Linked DNA regions of Caenorhabditis elegans. The protein of the gene in region 2 interacts with the protein of the main gene of each other region in a pairwise test. Each region holds a gene or a part of one and is shown on either strand. Other genes may lie near its edges. The genes, in order: sas-6 and sur-6.

Evidence for each region.
Region 1: the proteins of sur-6 (region 2) and sas-6 interact in a two-hybrid assay, tested with the Caenorhabditis elegans proteins (one study listed by BioGRID).

Annotation. Positions count from the first base shown.
Region 1 is NC_003282.8:13,782,356-13,793,807, forward strand, and holds sas-6 (Spindle assembly abnormal protein 6), read right to left. Parts: upstream 6,377-11,452; 5' UTR 6,355-6,376; coding exon 6,272-6,354; intron 6,227-6,271; coding exon 5,876-6,226; intron 5,823-5,875; coding exon 4,922-5,822; intron 4,792-4,921; coding exon 4,648-4,791; 3' UTR 4,590-4,647; downstream 1-4,589. Other genes in the region: lact-9 (Beta-lactamase-related domain-containing protein), read right to left, coding at 88-256, 306-587, 644-942, 2,330-2,440, 2,488-2,700, 3,141-3,290; iscu-1 (NIF system FeS cluster assembly NifU N-terminal domain-containing protein), read left to right, coding at 1,620-1,709, 1,768-1,887, 1,951-2,134, 2,189-2,256; icap-1 (Integrin Cytoplasmic domain-Associated Protein homolog), read right to left, coding at 3,436-3,510, 3,560-3,665, 3,760-3,881, 4,243-4,368, 4,429-4,473; Y45F10D.7 (Small-subunit processome Utp21 domain-containing protein), read left to right, coding at 6,753-6,815, 6,863-7,026, 7,072-7,560, 7,620-7,770, 8,517-8,830, 10,249-10,834. UniProt on the Caenorhabditis elegans protein: Central scaffolding component of the centrioles ensuring their 9-fold symmetry. Required for centrosome biogenesis and duplication.
Region 2 is NC_003279.8:9,747,719-9,759,170, reverse strand, and holds sur-6 (Serine/threonine-protein phosphatase 2A regulatory subunit sur-6), read right to left. Parts: upstream 5,050-11,452; 5' UTR 4,934-5,049; coding exon 4,738-4,933; intron 4,400-4,737; coding exon 4,302-4,399; intron 4,248-4,301; coding exon 3,991-4,247; intron 3,942-3,990; coding exon 3,806-3,941; intron 3,559-3,805; coding exon 3,489-3,558; intron 3,438-3,488; coding exon 3,273-3,437; intron 3,225-3,272; coding exon 3,100-3,224; intron 3,051-3,099; coding exon 2,914-3,050; intron 2,868-2,913; coding exon 2,693-2,867; intron 2,324-2,692; coding exon 2,195-2,323; 3' UTR 1,283-2,194; downstream 1-1,282. Other genes in the region: F26E4.2 (Tnp_DDE_dom domain-containing protein), read left to right, coding at 1,143-1,282; spp-25 (Saposin B-type domain-containing protein), read left to right, coding at 9,255-9,371, 10,206-10,288, 10,444-10,582; Endoribonuclease endu-1, read left to right, coding at 11,255-11,318. UniProt on the Caenorhabditis elegans protein: Probable regulatory subunit of serine/threonine phosphatase let-92.

The DNA.
Region 1 (11,452 bases), on a different chromosome or scaffold from region 2:
TTTTTTCTTGCATTTTTCCGATGAAAATTTTAAAAAAAAATAATATTTATGTACTCAAAATATAAGGAATGTGTAAATATCAAATATTCAAATTTCGCCATGAAACAGATCTCCAATGTCTCGTCCCAGCTTCAGAACTGTTGTATTTTGAAGGTTACACAGGATGGCCACACAAACACCGGAAGATGTATTTACAAGAAGCACTGAAGAAGCTCCGACAGCTGCTCCGGTGTGGTAGAAGAATGAAGAGTTGGAGCTGAAATTATTACGAATTAATATAGAAATGCAATTTCGGAAGTGCTTACATATTTCCATCAATTGATTTCAGATCTTTTCCGTCCACTAGAAACCATCCGAGGCCTGTCGAAGTTTTCGAGTCAACTGGGACTTGCTTTTCCAGGAATTTTCGAATAGTTTCTCGTTGTAGCAGACAATTCTTGGAATCCGACAGAATACTGTGAAGGATGGCGTTGGCGATGATCAGAAGATCGGTGGTGTTGGAGATGATTCCACCGCCGGCGAATTTGTTGGAGCAGTCAACTTCCGGACAGTTTTCCAGAATGTTTTTCGAATTTCGCTGGTAGTAGCTGAAGTTTTAAATAATTTTGGTTTAAAGAATCATTTAAAATTTTAAAAACCTTACCTAGCCCTTCCCGGAACAATTTTCTCTTTTGTATCCAGTTGTGTATTTCTCATTCCTAGATCCGAAAATAATTGATTTGCAAGCTGTCTATATGTTTTTCCTGAACATTTTTCAAGAACAGCACCGGCAAGTGTCAATCCGTATGTGGTGTAGGAGAATTTGGAGCCAGGTTTTTCCACAAGGTCGTCATTTTTGAAAATGGCAAGGGCGTCGAGCGAGGAATTGTATGGCTTGTTCGAGAGAAATTCGGGGGTTTCTGTGTTGTTGTTGGATGGATCTTCGTGTGTTTCGGATTTTTTCTGAAAAAAATACTTATTTTTTAATAGTATGTGGTTAAGGAATTTGAAATGAATTCCAAAATATTAAAATTCAATGAAAGTTACCGTACTTTCTAAAGGCACATTGGTGAAAAAGCACAAATGCTCAAATTCGCTTCGAGACCCGCTAGGGTTCAAAATACTGTGCGCCTTTACTACAGTATGTTTTTTGTTTTTTTTTTCTAATTTTTATTATTATTTTTATGAATTTTTAATGTTTTGCGCGAATTCAAGGATTTTTTTATTGGGTTTTGTATAGAAAATAATCTAAAAACTAGTAATTAATATAATTTTCTCATCAAACAACTGTTTCTATTGATTTTTTCTAAGTTTTCCATCGATTTTTATTTATTTATCAGTGTTCTCTGCTAAACTCGCCAGCTAAAGCATCAAAAACCTTGGCCTTGGCCGAAAAACTTCTCGGCCATGAACATGTGATGGTGTCTTGTGTGCGCCCACTACTTCTCCATTCTTCTTTTTGTTATCGCCGAGAAAAGTGATCTCTGCTTTAATTCTAAATGTTTTTTTCTGGAATTCCCTATTTTTATGCACAAAAATATTGCCTTTCGTTGCTAAAAATCCATGATTTAACGTATTTCTACTTTTATATTAATTTTATTTTTTAAATATAATAAATTAATTCCAGACAAATCACAGAAATGTCGCTTCAAATCAGTTCAGCCGCGAAAACACTCCTGCACAAGTTTGCGTTGCCAGCGGCAACTTCAGTTGCTCAGTATCACGAGAAGGTAGGTTTTAAATCATTTTCAGGCGTTAAAAAATCAATAAATTACACATTATTTTCAGGTTATCGATCACTACGAGAACCCGCGAAATGTCGGATCACTTGACAAGAACGATCCAAGCGTCGGAACAGGAATCGTCGGCGCTCCAGCTTGTGGAGATGTCATGAAATTGCAGATTCGAGTGAGTTTTTTCACATTTTCCGGGGAAAAAATTATTATATTTTAAAGCTAAAAACATTTCCAGGTCGACGATAACGGAAAAATCATCGAAGCCAAATTCAAAACATTCGGATGTGGAAGTGCAATTGCCTCATCTTCCCTGGCAACCGAATGGATTAACGGAAAAACTATCGATTACGCGTCGAAAATTAAAAATGACGAAATTGCCAAAGAATTGTGTCTTCCACCAGTCAAACTTCACTGTTCAAGTGAGCTTTTTTCCCTATTTTTCTCGATTTTTTTCGCAACTAAAAATGTTTCAGTGCTCGCCCAAGACGCCATTCAAGCCGCTTTGAAGGATTATCAGAAGAAGCAGACTAAGAAGGCCTAAGCCTGAAGAATGTGTAATAGACAATTTGTTTTCGTTATAGAAATCGCTATATATAAAAGAGCTTTTTTGTCACCTTTTCAGTTGCATAATGACGAATTCCAGCGGAATGCGACAGAAGCTGTCTCATTGTGATTTTGACGTCTTCGTTTTTGAACTTTTTCGCCGGGAATTCAGGAAGATATTTCTGAAAAAATTAATTTCAGATTTTCCCTTCCGTTTTAAGTTGCAAACCCGAATATCCTCATCAAGATCTAATGTTCCATTTTCAACGCACTGTGCTGCCAACGTGGCAGTTATCGGCTTACTGATGCTCGCAATTCGCATCACAGAATCTCCTGTACATTTTGCAAAACTTTCGAGATTTGCATACCCAAATCCACTTTTCCAAACCATTTTTCCATCCAGCGAAACTGCAATCGAAAGGCCTGGAATACCTTGAATAGCCTGAAAATAATGTCGAATTGGAGAAAGTTATTACACAGACTTGGAATTTAGAGATTTTTCCGCAATTACCTGGTCTCGACACGACAAATTTTTGTTAAATATGAGAAGGTGTGCGCCTTTAAAGAATACTGTAATTTCAAATTCTCATTTCTGTGGAATTTCAATGGATTTTTCACGATTTGTCAAAATATGAGTGTTCTTACTGTTTTTTACAGAAAAAATCGGGGTTTTTCCGATAAAAATATAATTATTTAGTAAAAAACAGGAAAAACACCTATATTTTAAAAAATCGTGAGAAAAATTCCACGGAAACGAGAATTTCAAAAGTGACAGTACTCTTTTAAAGGCGCACACCCTTTCGCATTAAACAAAGTGTCGCGTCGAGACCCGGCACCGTATTTTTGGTACAAAAATCGCAAAATTTCGAGTTCCCAACCAACCATCGTCGTCTCCACTAGCTCCTTGGCTTTTTTGATTTTCAGCAAATTTTCAGATTTTTCGCTTTCCCTCCGGAAAACTGTGGCTCCCAATGGAACAGCAACAGCGGTGGCACCAAGAAGCATCTTTGGACAGGAAGTGTACCATGACATGCTGGAAATTTTTTTTAATTTTTCCAAGCTCTGCGAGCTAGTGACAAATATTCCAAAGATGAAGCAACAAATGGTTCTAGGTGGCAAAAAATAACTTGAAAAATTAAATTTTTATTTTATGTAACAAGCAAAAAAAAAGAAAAAATTAAGCAATCGACGGAGATGGCGGCTCAATTACTTCGATGAGAGCACTGGCTTCCTCGGCTTCGATGAAAGCGTTCTGAAATAAAATAAATGACTATTACGAAAACTATGAAACATCCCAAAACCTTCACTAAATTACACAAAATATTAGAAGAAGCGTCGTCAGTGGCCTGAAGAAGATGGAGTTGGTATCGTGTAGTTGTGCTTTTTTCGACGAAGACTATGTTGGTTCTGAAATTGTTATTAAAATTACGGTCTCAGGTCTCGAAGCGAACGGAATTTTTTCTTGGTGATTTTCATCTAATTCATAATTAACCAATCGCACCTTCCAAATCCATCGGCATACGTCGTCAAAAGTATCAGCTCGATCAGTGGAATCCTCAGTTTCACTAATCGTGTTCTTCTCGAAGAAATCCGAAGTCCGTGCTTGGTGACCTCCATGTAAACCTTAAAATTCAAAGTTTTAATTATATTTCAACAAAAAACGGGATCTTCTGCGATTTTACACCAAAATTACGGTTTTGGGTCTCATCGCGACAAATTTTTGTTAACTATAAAAAAAATGGTGTGCGCCTTTAAAGACTACTGTAATTTGAAACTTTGTGAGTTTTCACTGATTTTCCAACGATTAATAACTGTTTTCTTGTAAAATATATTTTTTTATCGAAAAACAAAACAAAAAGAAAATCGATACAACAACAAGAATTACACGTTACAGTATTTACTCTTTAAAGGCACACAACCCTTTGCAAATAACTGTGTCGTGTCGAGACCGACAAAAATTCTGCGTTTGTGTAATATTCCCAACCTCCTCATGAGAATCCCCGTTGTTTTTCGGTAATTTCCCTAAAAGTTGGCTATTTTCCAAGTGCTCAACAATTTTTTCCTCGAGAGATCGACTGCAAGACGTTCCATTTTGAATTAGAGAATTTATCTGGAAAATTAAATGTTTTTTTTCTGAAGAAAACCTAGTAAACTTTAAAAAATTCCTTACCTCTTGAACTGCCACGTATAATGCTGAAATTTTCGGGTCTGTCATTTTTTTTTTTGAAAAATGTTCAAGCGAGTTTCTGGCGTCATAATGTTTGCGGAGGACTCCCAACTGATAAAAACCTTCCCCATTTGAAGTGCTGGCGGTGGCCTAGAAATCTCAATGAAATAAGCAGAGTTTTATTTTCAAGTAAAGGACAAGAAAAAATCAATAAAAAAGATTTTATCGTTGAGCGGGTGGGGTGTTCGTCACACTTGAACCAGTAGTCTCGTCGGCGATTAGTTGACTGTTGAAACGAAAAGCATGAGGAGTTGCAATTGTCGAATTTTGGAAATTAAGAGTTGTATTGTCACGGAATGGGGTGCGCTGAAATTTGAACAAATTAAAATATTTTTTTGAGTTGAAACAGTTCGGAAAAATGCTCAAAAATTGTGTGAAAATTGGAAATTGCCGGAAAAATCGATAATGTAGCTCATTTCGTAGAACTTCTACTAACCGAGTTCAAATTAGCTCCATATGGAGTGTGGGGTCCAAGAACAGGCTTGAATGATGGTGTAAGCCTATTTGTTAGTCCGGTCTGAAGCCCGGGAAGCCCAGAAGGAGCTGGACTAAACCGTTGGGCTCGGTAATGGGCAATTTTTTCTTTAAGATTCTCATTCTCCATGCTCAGCTTCTCAAAACTATCCATATTCTCGGCGGCCTTTAATTTCTCGTTCTCCAGCTCCTTCCTCAAGATTCCAATAGTTTCAGTGAGACTCTCAACCATCGAATCTTTTTCCTTCAAATCAGCTTCCAGCTCTCCTAGTTTTCTCATATCCAGACTTTGTTGATTCTGTTGTTGGGAGTTTCGCTTCAACAGCTGATCGGCCTTCTCCAGGTTCCGTTGAGCCGTGCCAAGTTCTGCTCGAAGCTTCCCAATTTCTTTCTGATGAGCCACATTTCGTTTCTGAAGCTGATCCACTTTTCCTTGTTCTTCTCTCAACATATTTCCAACAATCTCCAGCTCCTCCTGATTTTCTTCCAATTGCTTTTGCAGCGACTCCGTGTCTTGTTTCAAATCAGCCACTTCATCTTCTTTATCCTCAACTAATAATCGAATATTCTCTCTTTCCTCTTTCACCAGCTCCACCTCATCTTCCAGCTCTTTAAACTTTTCTGACATTTCTTCGAATTCCTCCTTCACACCAGACAGTTTTTCAACTTGTTTTTCCAAATCTCCACATTTCTGCCGTAGGCTTGCTAGCTCATCTGCAGATTTATAAAAAGTGGAGAGTTTCACTGCTTGACTGGAACAAATTTTCAGAAGATGTGAAATTAAATGATCTCCGCGGACTGCGTGAAGCTTGATGGAAAAGATTTTTCCTTTCGAAATAGGAGTCTTCGAGAATAGCTCAAATCTGGAAGAAAATAAAAAATTAAATTTCAATATTAGGTAATCTATTTCCCTTACGAGCAAAAATTCTTCTCGGCATCCAAAATAATATTGATTTCCGTCGGCTTTCCTGGATCAGCAATACTATGATAACCTGCTTTTTTCCGTGCATCAACCTCCCCATCTTCTTCCAAATTTTTCACAATATTTTTACATAACAAGTGTTGAATGATAACTTTCGGAAAAGCATCGAAATCCACTGTTAAATCGTGATCTCGAGCCAAAATCTGATATTTCTCGTTGTTCAACGTTTCCGAGAATAGAAATTCAAAATCATCGGAGCGGCTGATTTCGAATTTTAGCTCCTTTTCTCCACTGGTTTCGTTCCTTTGCTCTGATATTTTCAGCTTAACTTTTGTTTTGTATGCCCTGAAATTCTGTTACTTTTGAAAATCGTTTGCTCCCTTTTCTTACTTAAAATCCGGTTGATTTAGGCTCAACGGCTGTAGAAGTGAGGCGATGAGTGTTTGATCGAATAATGCAATTTTGCTAGTCATTTTTGTGGGAGAAAATCTGAAAAAAATTATGTTAAAAATAGGAAAAAACAGCAGAAAATGAAGAATAAAAAATTTGCGCAAAAACAATAAATTTGAGATGGCGCGCTCTATGGGACTACGGTGTGCGATTGCGGACTTGGCAATTGCGGACAAAACATTGTAAACTACGCCTAACAAAAAATCGCATTTTCTTTTTTTTTTCACAAACTAAAATTCCCCATTTCAGCCCATTTTCCGTCAAATTTTCACATTTTTGAAGATTTAATAAGGGAAAATAGAGAGTTTCCCGCATTTTCAATCATTTCTACAATCCTACGTCGTTTTTTTCTTGTGTGAGCCACTTATCCCGTTTTTTAACAATTTATCTCATTTTTCAGCTTTTTCAGCTTTTCCAGCAAATGAAGCGCATCCAGTCGGAGCTCTTTGCTCCTTATCGATTCTTGGGTGTGGTAACCGGTGATGTAAGCTTTTTTTCCGAATCTGAAGTGAAATTACTTATTTTTTCCAGGTCGCCCCGTCAATTCGTTCAACATTTGTCGCAAAAAAGTCGGCATTGTCAGTTTTGTGCCCAATTGATAATGTAATCATGCAATACAATGGAAAAAAGCTTCGTGCGATTGGAATGTCGGAACCTTTAAGCGATAAAGTGTCAGCAGTCGCGTCTTCTAGCACGTAAGCGGTTTAGAAAAATGCAAAAATAATTATATATCATTTCAGGAGCGTGTTCGCTGCTCACGGAACCAACATTACTTCTCTAGCATTCTGCAGAGATATCAAAGATTCCATCGACTTGGGCGCCAAGATCAAAATCATGACATTAATCGGAACTCAGCTGATCGCAGTTGATATTTCTTCTGGAATCCACGTCATTGATACATCAGAAGGAGGCCTTCAAATGAGCCTATTGATGGAAGGATCCGACGATTTTGAAATAACGGCAATCTGTCACCCATCCACGTATTTGAATAAAATCGTGGTCGGCAGTAGCACTGGTCGAATGAAAATTATCAATTTCCGAACTGGAAAAGTGATTCATGAGTTCCAGCGAAGTTTCGACTCGAGAATCACAATTATCGAGCAAACTACTGCCTTAGATGTGGTAGTTGTAGGGCTGGAAAATGGTGAAGTGATGCTTTTCAATGTGAAAATGGATAAGATCATCACATCGTTCCGACATGACGCAAAGATCACTAATGTCGCTTTTCGGTGGGTTGTGTTTTAAATTGAAAAATATTATTTAAAAAAATTATTTCCAATATTTTCAGTGACGACGGCGAATCAACAATGGTAACTGCCGATAAGAACGGAACAATGGCTGTGTGGGATCTCGAGAAGCAGGAATTAATCGGAAAAATCACGGGAATTCACTCTGACGAGATTAATTGTCTCTATTTTGTTCCAGGGGAGCCTATCATGGTAATTTCCTGTTAAAGGTGGAGTGCGCCCAGTGGGAAAATTGCTTCAAAACACGCCTATGGGGTCACAATGACCGAATATCATGATAAAAAATTCAAAAAATTTTTCCTGATTTTATATGATTTTTTGAAATTTGAAAAAATCTCAGTTTTCTCCTAATTCCTATTTGAATTTCCGCCAATTGGAATCGTTCGATGGAGCGCACTTGCCTTATTTTTATCAATTTATTTTATTTTTTCTCATTATTTCACTGATTTTCTCCATTATTTGTGTATATATTTATCGGAAAGAGAAGTAAAAAAGCAAGATTAATGCAAAATGTTTGTTTAAAAGTGATTAAAAATGCGTAAAACTGTAAAATTATGATTTCCGACGACAACAACAAGATTTTTTAAAAAACACTTTGCATTTATCGTGAATTTTTCTCTCTTTTTCCGAAAAAAATACACAAATAATAAAGAAAATCAGCCGAAAAATGAGAAAAAAATAAAATAAATTAATAAAAATAATGCAAGTGTGCTCCATCGAACCATTACAATTGGCGGAAATTCAAATAGGAAATAGGGGGAAAACTGAGATTTTTTCAATTTTCAAAAAATCATGTAAAATCAGGAAAAATTTTTTGAATTTTTTTATCATGATATTCGGTCATTGTGACCCCATAGGCATGTTTTGAAGAAATTTCCCCACTGGGCGCACTCCACCTTTAAATTCCGAAGAAAAGGTTAAAATTCAATTTTTTCCAGCTCTCCGCTTCACTGGATAACTCTCTGCGTCTCTGGATTTTCGACAGTGCAGATGGAATGCCACGTGAACTTGTCCGCCTGGAAGGACACTCGAAACCATGTGCCAGTATCAAATTTGTTGGAAAAGATCACGTTTTGTCGGCCGGAAAAGATGGATCCATTCGAAAATACGATGTTTCTTCGTTGACAATGAGACAGAAGCTTGGCACAGTTGGACAGGGTGTTAAATTGAATAAAGAAGTTCAAAATGTAGCTGAAATGGCGTTTGGATGGCAACGAGAAGCTGCATGGAATAATGTGTTTTGCAGACAAGTGTACGGGAAACGCTTACTTAATATGTGCCAAAAAGAACGAAATTCCCGGAAAATTGACTCAATTTTGGCTAAAATCTCCAATTTTGTCAACTTTTCCGGTTGGAAATTACCTTTTTTTTCGATTTACACCTTTATTGCATTTTTTTATCGTTTATCTCACATTTTTGGTTTATTAGGGTACACTCAAAGGTGGAGTAGAGTCAAAAATCAACCGTAATGACAATTATAACTGTTAAAAAGTTAAAAAAAAATATATATATAGTCACAGTATCTTTCGGCTAATTTCCTTTAAATAACGAAAATTGACCGAAAGTAACTGTAAATATATTTATTTTTTAAAAGTTTTTTACAGTTATAATTGTCATTATGTTTGATTTTTGATTGTACTCCATTTAAATGCATCTTAAATAGCGAAATAACGTGATAAAAACTATCAAACAATAGCAATAAAGGAAAATAAAATTCAATAAAAATTTAATTTCCGGCTGTTGTGACACGGAAAAGTAGGCAAAATCTGAGATTTTAGGTGAACTTAAGCCATTTTTAAAGGTTGAGTACCGAAATCTGAGAAATATTTTTTAAATGACTTCAAATTTTCCCCGGCTTCGGAATATCTAAATGAAAAAATTCAAAAAAATTTTCCTGATTTTATATTTCAACTTGAAATCGCATTGCGTCCCCATGAAATTTTTCAAACGCCGAATTTTCGCGCCAGAGACGCCATGTGTCGATTTACGAGATTTGTGTAGATTTTCGAAATTTTTTAATATTTATCAGATGCTGATTTCCGTTTTTCAACGAGTTTCCTTCATTTTCGTCGGTTTTTGCCAAAGTTTTTTTGAAAATGTGTGTTTTTTTTTAAGTCAATTAAACATTGTATTATCAAAAAACTAATAAAATTTTCGATTTCCGTCGAGTTGTGACCTAAAAATTGGAAATTTTGTTAGTTTTTTGATAATATAATGGTTAATTGACTTAAAAAACACATTTTCAAAAAAAAAACTTAACAAAAACCGACGAAAATTAAGGAAACTCGTTGAAAAACAGAAATCAGCATCTGATAAAAATTGAAAATCTCGTAAATATACACAAATCCCGTAAAACGACACATGACGTCTCTGGCGTGAAAATTCGGAGTTTGAAAAATCCCATGGGTGTAGAAGCGATTTCAAGCTGAAATATAAAATCAGCGCAATTTTTTGAATTTTTTGAATTTAGATATTCGGAATCAGGGGAAAATTTGGAGTAATTTAAAAATATTTCTCTTTTATGATTTCGATACTCAACTTTAAAGGAATTTTTCAAAAGTTTCATTTTAAAAAATTATTTATTTGAGCAATTTTTGAGCACACTTTTAGTCTCCACAAGCAAAAACCTCCTATATATTTCCAGCTTCTAATGTTTCCTTCCTATTCCAGAAATGACACAAAAATCACCACATGGCAAACGAGAAACAACACCTCTGGAGCATTTACACTGGAGCATGATCGTTTCAAGAAAAAAGTGGATTTTATTGATGCAAATGCGACTGCTCTCTGCGTATCACCTTGTGGAAATTTCGTATTTATTGGATATTCTACAGGTCATATCGATCAATTTAATGCTCAAAGTGGCCGCCACGTTCATTCATTTACTGCTTCCACCACTGTGAAAAAGAGCAAGAAGTCTAAGAATCCACGAAAAGGTCCCACTAAAACCAACGGCGATATTCACAACGACACTCCGGCTGCCGATTCTCCGATTACATCGCTTTCCGTAGATCAACGTGGAAAAGAGCTAATGAGCACTGATGCTCAAGGTCATATTCTGTTCTGGTCTCTTTCAACGAAGGCTATCAATGCGAAAATGTTCAAAAAAGATGTTAGATTGGGAATTTGTGCACCGTGCCCGTCGAATAGTTTAGTGGCGTTGGTGGCGATTGCTGAGAATGGGAAAGAAAGTGTGATTCTAGTGGATACAGTGTGTCATCGAGTTGCTAGAGCATTTGAGACTGTTGGCAATAAGGTAGGTTGCCGTGAAAAAAAGTTCGATTTTTTCAGGAAAAAAACAAAAAATTCAGGTTTTCCGGAAAATCGAAAAAAAAATCAGAAAAGCACGATGATATTGCATTTTTTAATCAATTTTTTTTAAAAGTTGTTTAAAAAACATTTAAAAACGCTATATATTCCTTTTTTCCCATTTTAACCGGGAAAAAAAAATTTTTATTTTGATTAAAAAACCAAAAAAAGAAAATAAACAGTTTTAAAACTAGTTTTGGCAAAAAAAAAACTCAAAAAAATAACTAATCTTTGCTAGAAAAGCCCGCTTTTCCAACAAAAAAAAAAGATTTTTCCAGCAAAAAAAACCATATTTCGCCAAAAAATGTTTAATAAAATCCATTTTTGGAAAATAAACCAAAAAAATTAATTCTTTGCCATAATGAACCAGAAAATATATTTTTCCCAAAAAAATTATTTAAAAAACCCCAAAAAAAAAAATTTTTTACAAAAAAAATCAGTTTTCCCCAACAAAAAACCATAAAATGGTTCTATTTTTGCTTTTAAGCAACCTAAACAAATTTTTTTTTAACCGTAAAAATCGTAAAAACCAAAAAAACATTTTTGCCAAAATAAATGTCCAAAA
Region 2 (11,452 bases):
TAGTTATCATACTATTATACCAATGGGGTTTCTGAAAATTATCTGAATTTTTTTTTGCAATATTCTTTAGTAAATTGTCGAGAATCTATTTATTTTTGTTTCAAGATGGAGTTTGGAAAATAGGGATTTAGTCTTAAAATTCTCGGAATATTCCAATATGTCAGGTAGAGTTTGTGGAGTCAGAAGTCGTTGATTGATCCAAAAGTGTACATGAATTCATATTTTGGAAGAAATTCAAACAGGGAATTAGCGAATTTTTTGAAGTTGGCAATGTACATCTTTCACTGTTTTTATCAGTTTTCTTTTGCGATATTTTAGCATATCGATTCCGAGTACATTAAAACTACCCAATTTCCGAACTCCACCCTTAAAAATATTTTCGAACAATTGAAATATAAAAAACTTTAAAAAATTGAAACTGCACAGGAAATGCACATATTATTTTTTGTGTATTTTCCCTTACCCTCAAGAAAATTCGCCATGTGTACTAAACAAATCAGCCGTATGTTTTCTGTCTTGACAACACCTTAGAGGATTATCTTGTTTTTGTAGATGTAAATGTTAACTAATAATATCAATTGTCCGAAAGAGAGTTTCGATTTAAAAATAAAAATGTCAGAATTTGGATTAAGGATTAAATATAGTTTTCTCCTTTTTTTGTCTATGGAAATGATATTTATCAAGTCAAAAGGAATCAAAGTATAAATAATTCATCGATTCGATTTATCTATTTTTTAAAGTTATAACTTTTGTACTTTTTTCAAAACAAAATCCAACGTAATATAATCGATTTTTTTCAATTAATTATTCTCTTATACATCCGCGTCAAAAATACGGTACGCGGCCTCGACACGACAAATTTTAGTTAAATGCGAAATGTTGTGCGCCTTTAAAGAGTACTGTAATTTCAAACTATGATTGCTTCGGAATTTTCATCGAGTTTTTTTTTAAATTTTTTCTAATTATTTGTTCAAAATTATGCTTTTATTGTTATATTCCATTTTTCTAACTATGCAATTCGGTGAAAATTCAGCAGCAGCAATAGTTTGAAATTACAGTAATCTTTAAAGGCGCGCACATTTTCGCATTTATAAATTTGTCGTGTCGAGACACCAATAATATATTTTTCTAATTTATTTCAGTCTCCAAAGTCACATATGATGCACAAGTACTAGTACGTCAAACATATCGTCGCCATGGAACTGAAATCCTCATCGCCACAAATGTGATACTATTATTATTGTTTTTGTACATTTGTCGACTATTTCCATTCAATAAATGAGTTTTTATGATTGGAAAATAAATATTGCTTACAATTTTATGGGAAAAGGAAGACTTAATGATGAGACACACCCACGGGGATTTAATGATGAAGAAATATGAGGGAAGTAATACAAAAATTTATGTCAAGATTCTTGATTTGAAAGTTTGTAATTTTGTGACAGACAAACGAACAGAGAAAGTGGAGAGAAAATAACTAAAGTCGGAAAAATTTCAAAAATTTTTTGGGCGATTTTTATAGTTTTCAAAATTACAGAATGGAGCTAACAAGGTGAGAATAATACCTTCACACGCTTTCAAACAAGAGGATTAAGTCGTGAAACACATTGTGAATCTAACAGGAGAAATCATCCTAAAAGTGGGAGAGACACGACCCGAATGATTCGGGGTTAAGGATCTACAGTTATCTTTTTAAAAGTGGTGGTGGAAGAGACAAGAAAGAGAACACTGGAGTTGAAGAGTGAGGGAAAAGTATAGAAAACGGGCCACGTAATTCAAGAATGATATGAGAGGATAGAGAGAGGGAGAGAGTAAAGAAAAAGAAGCTATAAGAATAATAAAGTACAACTCTATCTCAAATTGGAAGCAAAAGACAACTTTAACAGTTGAAAAATAGAAACCAACTAAGAGCTTATTCCTGTTTTACTTCAAAAATTTACGATGACGAAGGATTTGAAAGAAAGAAAGCGAGTAACATTGAATACGCGATTAAATGTCTATAAGTCGACATGAGGACTACGAAAACGGGAAAGAAGGGACGGGATTTGAGAAAGAATTGACTCACAAAAATATGGGGAAAATATGAAAAAAAAATTTAGAGTTATATGAATGTGATATTTGAGGATAAATTGAGAAAAAGGGAAAATGATGATTGGGGGAGGACGAAATCCAACAAGTTTACGAAAACAATAATTTAAACATCTGAGAAGATGTAGAGATTGTTAGTGGCAGCAAGAGCAATGATGTTATCCTTTGGATGCCATGCTGTGTGCAATATTTTACGATCAAATTGAAGTTGATCAGATGAAAGATCCTCTTCGGTCTGTAAATTGGGTTTTTGTTGATTTTGAAGTAAGATATGTTTATCATATTTTCACGAGAGTTTAACATGCATTCTTAAAGGTGCACGGATGTATTCAGATGAGTCTTGGCGATCAAGAAAATTTACGGTTGTGCTTTTATTTTATGCGGCTGATTCCTCGTTTATTTTACATTTTCAATAAAATTACGTCGTTTAAAGTGTATTTTTAGCGAAAAAATGTCGCTAAATACGAAGTAATTATATTGAAAAATAAAAAATAAACGAGAAGCAGTCGCATAAAATAAAAATAAAAACTACCATAAACTTTTTTTGCGCGCAGAGACCCATTTAAACATGAAGACGTTTTTTTAAATTTAATTGAAATCTTACCGTTTCACCGCTTGATGACAGATTGTTTCTCTTCCGTTTCGCTGATGGTACAACAAATCGAGATCGGAGCTGTGAATGTGGTTCTTGAGGCCGAGCTTCCCAAGTTTTCGCATCTTGGTTATTGCCACGAGCATATGAACGGAACAGATTATGATACGAACCCGTGAGAATATGTCTGCAAAAAGAAAATTATAATATGAAAAAGTACTGCAATTAATTACTTGTCATCTCCACTCCAATCGCACTCGAATTTATCGAAAATTGAATCATTTTCGTAGAGTGCACAGAGTTTTGTTCGTAAATAATTGTGCACTGGATATGTCTCTACCGGTTGTGATTCCATGTTCAAATCCCACACCTGAAATATAAAAGTTGTTCAAATTTTCTTTTTAATTATTAATAATTACCTTGACAGTAAGATAGTCCCTCGTAAGCAAGTACCTTCCATTATGTGAGAATTTGACGTCACTAACAGATGCAATAATCTCCGAGAAGAAAGATCGAGATTGAGGGTCTTCTGGTTCCTCGAAAACTGCAAATTAATATTATTTATATAATCAATACACAGAACCAAACGCACTTTTAGCATACGCATCACATAGAGCACGATCTCTCATATCACACAATCGAATAGATCCTTTTGATGAAGAGTATACAAACCAATTACACTGCGTTGGATGGAATTCGGCGGCAGTAATAACTTCCGTAAGTTCTTCCATATTAGCAGGCTTGATGTCGACAATGTCTGGAAGAAATCGATATTAAAATTTTTTGAAAACAAGTATTCAAAACTCACTGAAAGACTCATTGGTAATCTCCAGATTCCAAAGGTTAACTCGCAAATCGTCGGCAGATAGGAATGTTTCCTGAAAATCGGAATATAATTTTTAATTTCGGTTCACTTATACATAATTGATATTTTGGTCCTTGCAGTACCAAACATTTTAAATTTTCACAAAAAAGAATTCAGCCAACCTGGTACTATTTTTCTAATAAATTGAATAGTTAAAAAAATACGCCGAACATGTGAAGAAGGTTATACTGTTGAGATTTTGATTCATCGTATACTTTGGATTGAAAAAAGCTGAACACAAAAAAAAATTATTAAAATACCTGATCAGAATTCACTGAAATACTGTTGACGTGATAAGTGTGAGCATTTCCGTAAACTCGTCTCGGACTTGCTTCAACTATCAACTCCATTGGCACGATCGAGGGTATTTGTAAGCGACCTCGGAAGGAGGAAGTGCTGAAAATTATATTTATATATTTAAAATATTTAATCATTAATGTTATACTTGATTCTGTTTGTTCTAGGCAGATTCCATGCATCGTCTCCAATTTTACGCTCTCTTTCACTAATTTTCCACAGCTTGATTGTTTTGTCGTTGGTCGAGAGAATGAAATTGGCTGCATTCTTCTTTTTAAGCCACCGAATTTGATTAATTTTCTCGTCAATTTCTAGTGATTTCAAATAATCAAATTCAGGTTCATGAGATTGAAATGTCGAGTAAACATTATATTCCCTCGATCGAACGCCTTTCACATACTTTCCCTGAAAAATTAAATATTTAAAACAGTTCTCGTCTTTCTAAAAACTAAAACCTACACTCTGATCTCGTTGGAAAATTACAACACGTCCTCCTTTGTCTCCCGTTGCCAAATATTCACCATCGTGTGAAAATTCCACACAAGAGATCACATCGGCTGAAAATTATTCGATTTTTCAGTATTCTAGGCATCATAATTTTTACTAATTTTTGACATATCATCTTAAAGTCGCACGCATTAATTCAGATGGGTCTCGGCGCGCAATAATGTTTATGGTAATTTTTTTCGAATGTTTTACTTTAAAAACTGATTTAAAACAATTTTCACAGAAAAATGAAAAGAATATGACAAATTTCGCAAAAAATGAACTAAGTAGTATTTTAATTTTAAAAAAAAACAAGGCAATTAAACCACCAACTTTTTTCTGAATAAATCGTGCGTCTTTAAGAAATAGTATCAAAAACGTAGGGAAATTTCAAGTAACAATTTTTTACCTTCCGTGTGCACATCGGCATCTATATTTCCTTTCACCTGGTTGAATTTCCAATTTATTTGATCTACCGGTTCAAATGTTTCATCGTTCTCAATTGGTCCCTCGGAGGTATCCATATCAAAGTCATTCGCATGCTCCTGCGGTTGATTTTGCGATGTAGTCGCCGCAACTGCAGGTTCGTCCACTTCCATCACCATTATTCAAATTTTTCCTCTTTTTCGTTGTTTCTTTGGTTCTCTTCCCTTCCTAATCACTGGATGTGACGAAGATTAAAGTGTTTGAGACACGGGAATGACGACTATTTTTAATGCGTCTGAAAAATGGAAATTATTATATACAAAATTGGATTAGGAATTCAGAGATTGACATCGGGAAAAAAAGAAGCATAAATCCTCATGCCGCAGGTTGCTAGGCAACAAATCTGTCGAGTGATGAAGAAAAAGCACAACATGGTAAAACAGGAAATTAAGACAATTGTTTGAAAGAGAAATAGCTGCAAAGTTTTTTCAAAGAGTCAAAAGGAATGGAACACTCAGGTCAGAGAATTAGAGACAAAGAACGTTGTTTAAAAGTTTGTATGTTTGATTCGATCACAAAAATGACCGAGAATCACAGCGGTGCCGCAATGCTATCGCAATTTACATGACGAAACGCGGGCAAAAAAACTAGGGTGCGAAAGGGCGCATTTGCAATTTGTAAACGGAAGGGACCGGTTTTGAGTGCATTTCAGTGCAACAAAATTAGAAAATGAAATAACACAAAAATGTTGATAATGGATGCTTAATTTACGTAGATCAATTTATAAGTAATATCTCTCTGATCGCCGCATTTTAGTCAAAAAAAAATTGTTGGTCAAAAGCACGAAGATTTGGTTGGAGAAAACAAGCAGATGATGCTTACCGAGATCTCGTCTGCCAACCAAGGGACTCTTAATCCATCGGCGCAGAGCAAACGCGCGAGATTAATTCGAGCTTCTTCACAACATCTGCGTCTCTTCAGTCATCTCATTATGTTATTACTATCAACACTGAATGCTCATAAAGCACGAAAGCAGAGATACATGGCTCGAGGTAGTTCTCTAATCATCTCATTTTCACTGAATTCTTTTTTCTATTCAAGTTTCTTCCTAATCCGCTCCCTCACCTGTGTGAATTCCAGTTAACCAAAAACGGAGCAATAGACAGACCGTAGAGAGAAAGAGACAGAAAAGGAAACAAAAATGAGTGTGTATGTGTGCGTGTGTGCCGAATAATAATGAGCAGAGTGAGGCGCAAAATCAGATTATAACTTCAACTTTTTTTTCAAAATGGTAGATAACCAATCGATCGATCAATAATTATCAGATGAGTCATAGGAAAATGACTGAAACAGTATGCGATCACGCAGAGAAGAACTTCACGCAGCTGGCCAGAGGGCAACAACAAGACGGAAATAATCAATGACTACTCATGACTACACGAGAAGGAACCTCTTACTTATCAGCTGTCCTCCGATAGAAACAAAAAATTATTGATCAGAAAGCAAATATGATTTCAAAAGTTAAAAGCTTGATTATTTCAAAATAATAATAAGGAAAATGCTGAATAAGATTGTTGTGATCAACAGAAATCCAATTGGCAAAATGTAATAAAAAGTGAAAAACGGAGACGGAAGGAATCATGATGGATTAAAAAACAATATACATCCATTTTCTAAGCGGCAAAAACGAGAGATGGAGCACTCCCTCCATGTGTGTGCGGGCCTGTGAGTGTCAACGACGTGTGCAGCATGAGGCGACGACAGCATCAGCCGGTGGAGAAGCAGAAGACATGGTGGGGGAGGAAAAGAAGACGTCGAGAAGGAGCGAGAAGAGATATCAGTGTTCTTCCGAAGGGAGCGCGAGGAGACATGAAGAGATGGGCGACTACTGCCTTGAAGAACCAAATAATCGATTGGCTATGGCGCCGGCGACGAACCGAATGGCGAAAACGGAATGACGCAGAGTATGAAACACGAGACAGTGCACCTAAACGAGTTACGCAGACAGCTCGACGATGGAACACAAAGAAACTGTGTGCGAAGCTAATAGCATTGATGGACAGTCAACTCTTTCTTTTTTTATTTGAAAAATGTTACTATCATTATTTGGAAGCACATTTTGACCGTTTCGTAAAAGAAAACTTAGTTCAGTGAAAGTAGGGTCAATTAGTGTTCGCAAAAAGTGTAATGAGTTGGGCTCTTCTTTTTAGGGACTTGCCGAAAATTTGTTTTCAGGAAGAAAACGAAGAAAAAGAGATGTGATGTAAGTCGGTAACAAGTTATTTTTCAAAATTTAGATAATTTCGCATAACAAAATCCGGAAACACATGATTTTTGTGATCGAATTGCTGAAAATTTCGCTTTTTGCTCATTAGGGAAGAAATTCTGACAATGTGCAAGTGGTTTTTAATATAGACCAAAAATTTGAATAAAAAATAAATCCTCAAGGTTGATAAAATTATAATTTCCCTATACTTGCAATTATTTAGTAGTGCCTTTAAAATTAAATTCGAAATTAAAAATGGCTCAAAACTTGGAAAAAACATTGAAAACACTAAAACTCGTATTCATCTAACTGGTTGTGTTGCTCTCGTGCTTGCCAAAACATACATATAATATCTGCGCTCCTCTGAAAACTCGGCTCGTTCAGGGCTCTTCTCTCATGCTCATGCTGCTCAATTACCACTAGTACCTCTCTCTCCATCTCTCTACATGAATAATTATCGGAGACGCGTACAGAAAAGGAGAAAGCAGAAAAAAAGAGGAAGCACAAATAAAATATCAAGACAGAAAAGAATGTGGCCGCGAAGTGATACAAAAAACATAAAATATGTCGACTCAGCTTGCCGCAAAAAAAACCGAGTCAAAGAAATGGAAATCTCAAAACAGGACAACAAGGGTACAAATAATATTCGAGACAATTCCAACTAGTTTCATTTTCACAGTAGATCGAATGACAAGAAAAATGAGCTTTTCGAGCACACCTTAACCCAATCGATCAGTCGCCACTTGAGAGTATGTTCTTCAAGTACTCGACTCTCATTACCGCCTTCGTTCGACCGAAGCCTGTTTACCAGCCATTTTTAACGCAATATCGCGAGAATTCTCATTGTGCCAAGCGTAATAATAAAAAAATTACTGAAAAAGAGTAGAAAACCCTATGAATCGGAAGAAATAGATGAAAAAATGAATCAACGAACTCAAACGCAAAAAACACAATTTGAACCGAAGAGTGTGCAGTTGCGCGTCATCGTGTACACGGTGTTTGCGTCTTAGGCGCCGTGCTGAATTGTTGACCGTAGCCAATTTGTACTGAACTAGAAATCTAGTGTAAGATGGGTGTAAAGAAAAGAAATTCTATTAAAAAATAGTGTTTTTTTGGTTAATGGCAAAATTATTATTCACAAAGTTAAAATAACTTGTGAAAAAATTGTCCGTAAACTGCGAAAAAAGGAAATTAAGAGCGAAGTTGAAAAAAGAATGGGCGATTTTGAAGTTCCCGAAATTATCAACAATTGTAAGTTTCGATTTTCCAGGTCTCGCCACAAACGAAATATTTTTAATGAAGGTCGCGCAAAGAGGATTACACCCTTTAAATAGTACATTACACCATTCCAAAACGGCGAATGGATTACTGTACTTTTTAAAGGCGCATATCTTCACTTAGATTTGACAGCATTTCGTTCGAGGTGAGATCGGAAAACGTCCAAAATTCGAAACTGGAGTATTGGAATAATACTACAAGTTCTTCTTGAACGTCAAACTGAATAGTTTCTAAAGTTGATTGACAAGTTGCTGAATCCTCTCTCATTATATAATTTGTAACGTTAAATTATATTTTATTTCAAAATTGAAAATGAAGAATTCAGAACCTCTTTGAACAATGGACAGAAAGTTTTGAAGAAGACAAATCTAGCTCCAGCCGATAAATGGTTCCAAAATTGACCGCGATGTTTTTTACCAATGCTACGAGGTTCTTTGACGCTGTAGATTCGTTCCTTGATACATTCAGAACTAAGGATGTTATGGATGACTCCACCTCGTTTTAAATCGCTTTTCTGAAATTTCTGAATATTTTACAAATGTTCAAGAGCAGTAGAGGGGCTTACATGGCTCCGCCGAAACAAACTGATTTTTGTGCAAAACATTCGGCTGCAAACTCCAATTACCCATAATGATTAAAATATATTCAGTCAATGCATTGTAGGCTCTATCAGGGTTCTTTTGAATAAACAAGATAAACATTTAAAATTTTAGAATAAGGAGTTTATTTTTGAAAACAAAGAGCAATAACCAGGTACATGAAAATACATATCAAAAACCATTTAGATCGTTCCACTCGAAAAACCTGAAAAAGCATGTGGCTGTGCACGAAAATGTCTAGTAAATTTACAGCTCACGACCACTGATAAAATGATGACGTCAACAAATTGACAAGGGGCAGCAGCTACTGAAGAAGGAACAAAATGAAGAAAACGAATCAGTTTTTGGGGCAGTGTCATGCAGTACATTTGTCTTGTTTCGGCTCTTTTTGTTCTTGTTTTGAGTCGAGGTATTCCTACAATTCCACAACCAAGAATTGATGTATGGTCAGGACCTAATTGTCATATGTGTGAGGTGAGCAAATTTTATATTTCGGTCTCGGTTGTTTTTTTAAAAGGAAATATGGGAAGTTGATAAGTTAAAAAATAATTTGTTCAGCTTTTTTTGAAGAAAGTGTTAAGCTCACTTTTGTACTTCCAAATAACATTTATGCCATTTGAAAAAAATAACGTATATAGGTTTTTACAAAAAAAAATTAACTACAGACGGGCATTTTAAATTAGAAAACAGCTTGATCTGTATTTATTTTTTAAAACAACTTTTTTGCTATTTTCGCGGCCAGTAAAGTTGTTCGAGAAGGTGGATTTTTGCAAAATCTACAAATGCCGACAATGCAGACTTATAATTTTTTGAAATGTCTTGAGGTACCCAAACAATCTGGAAGACTTGTGGAATTTTTCTTTTTTTTGTATAAAAGTTCTTGAAAACACCTCAAGTTGTTCGCAGGTTCACAAAACATCCTAAACATAAAATAGACTTAGAAAAACGTTTGGAGACATTTCCAATAATGCTCGCTTTTGAAATATATGCCGAAAAAATCAGATTTTTAGAAATAAACAAAGACGGGGTTCTGTACGTCCTAATAGCAACAAGTTCAAAAGTTTAGGAAAAATCTCAAAAAATGAACCCAACTTTTGCTTCAAAATTGAGTTCTTCCGTCAGTTACAGAAGCTGATGTAAGTTTTTCAATAATTTGCAAGTTTCTAGAAACAACTTTTGGAATATTTTTTGTTGCAAATTTTCAACATTTCAACATTTCAACACCTGTTTTTTTAGAAATTGAATGCGATTATTATAATAATTCCAACAAAAAACCTAATAGGAATCTAAATTTTCTTCCGATTTCAGGTAATCCTTAATAATGTCCGATATGAGTATCGTAACAATTTCACAAATGTAACTCCTGACCAACTTCGGCAATCTCTTTACCAGTAAGTACTAACACATTTTGGTCTATTCTCATATTTCTTCGTCACTTTAATTATTTTATCATTTCTTGAACAGTCATATGTACCCGATATTTTATCAAAGTTCCGGCTCATTACCTTCCGACCACAACTGCCTTCCCAACACAAACAATTTTCAGACAATGTGATTTAAATTTGAACGGCTTCACTGATCAAGAATGTCACAAAATTGCGGATGAAGATTCTGCTGATATACTTCAACAACTTCAAGAAGGAACATCTTCATATCGAATTTGTCAAAGAGAACTTTTATGCTGAAATTTTTATCTTGTTTATCTAATGTCTTTATACTCATTGAATTTAAATATTCAAATATAATTTTCATGGTGTTGTTCTTCTTGAAACACTGCTTGTTTACTGATTGACAGGGTTGTTGAAACATTTTATTTTCAGAAAAAAGTTTCTAAGTACTTTTGATGATTTTCAGACTGTTTAGAGGTAGGCAAACAATCTAGAAGCTTTTTGAAGAACATTTTATTAAAGTTATATTATTTCTGAATACTATTTCACCCAACTCGATGAAGAAAATTTTCAGATTTTTTCAAGAAAAAAAGTTCCAAAAAGTATTTTTCTTCCCTGCCATGTGTTTCTTTGAATCTCCCGCCGATGTTTGCCAAGACATCTTTCTCTGTGAAATGTTACACAAAAAAGACAAAAAATCATTTGTTTCCTCTTGTCAAACGATTTCAAATGACGTTTTGATTATTTTTTTGTTCTCGATTTTCAAACTTACTTTTTAGTTTTAATTAAATTATGTAGATTCTAACTCATAGGAATTGATTGTTGCCAATGAGTCAGTGGAAATGATAAAATCAGCACAACATATACTCTTTGTATCTCTAATTCTCCGAATCTCTTGTTCGCATCTTTCACAACAATTCTTTCTTCTTTTCTACATCCATCGGTCACTCCACTTTTTCCAGTGACAAAATGTGCTCTGTGCTCATTTTTATCTCAATCTTGACAGTGTTGGCACAGTGCCAGAAAATCCCGAGTGAGTTTTTTTTTAAAATTAGATTGAATTGAAAATAAGTATCATCTCTGTTAAAAATTTTAAGAATGAATTCAAAAACTGACTGACATTATGACAAGTGAGAACTTTCCGTCGGGTTTTGAAATCCATACTTT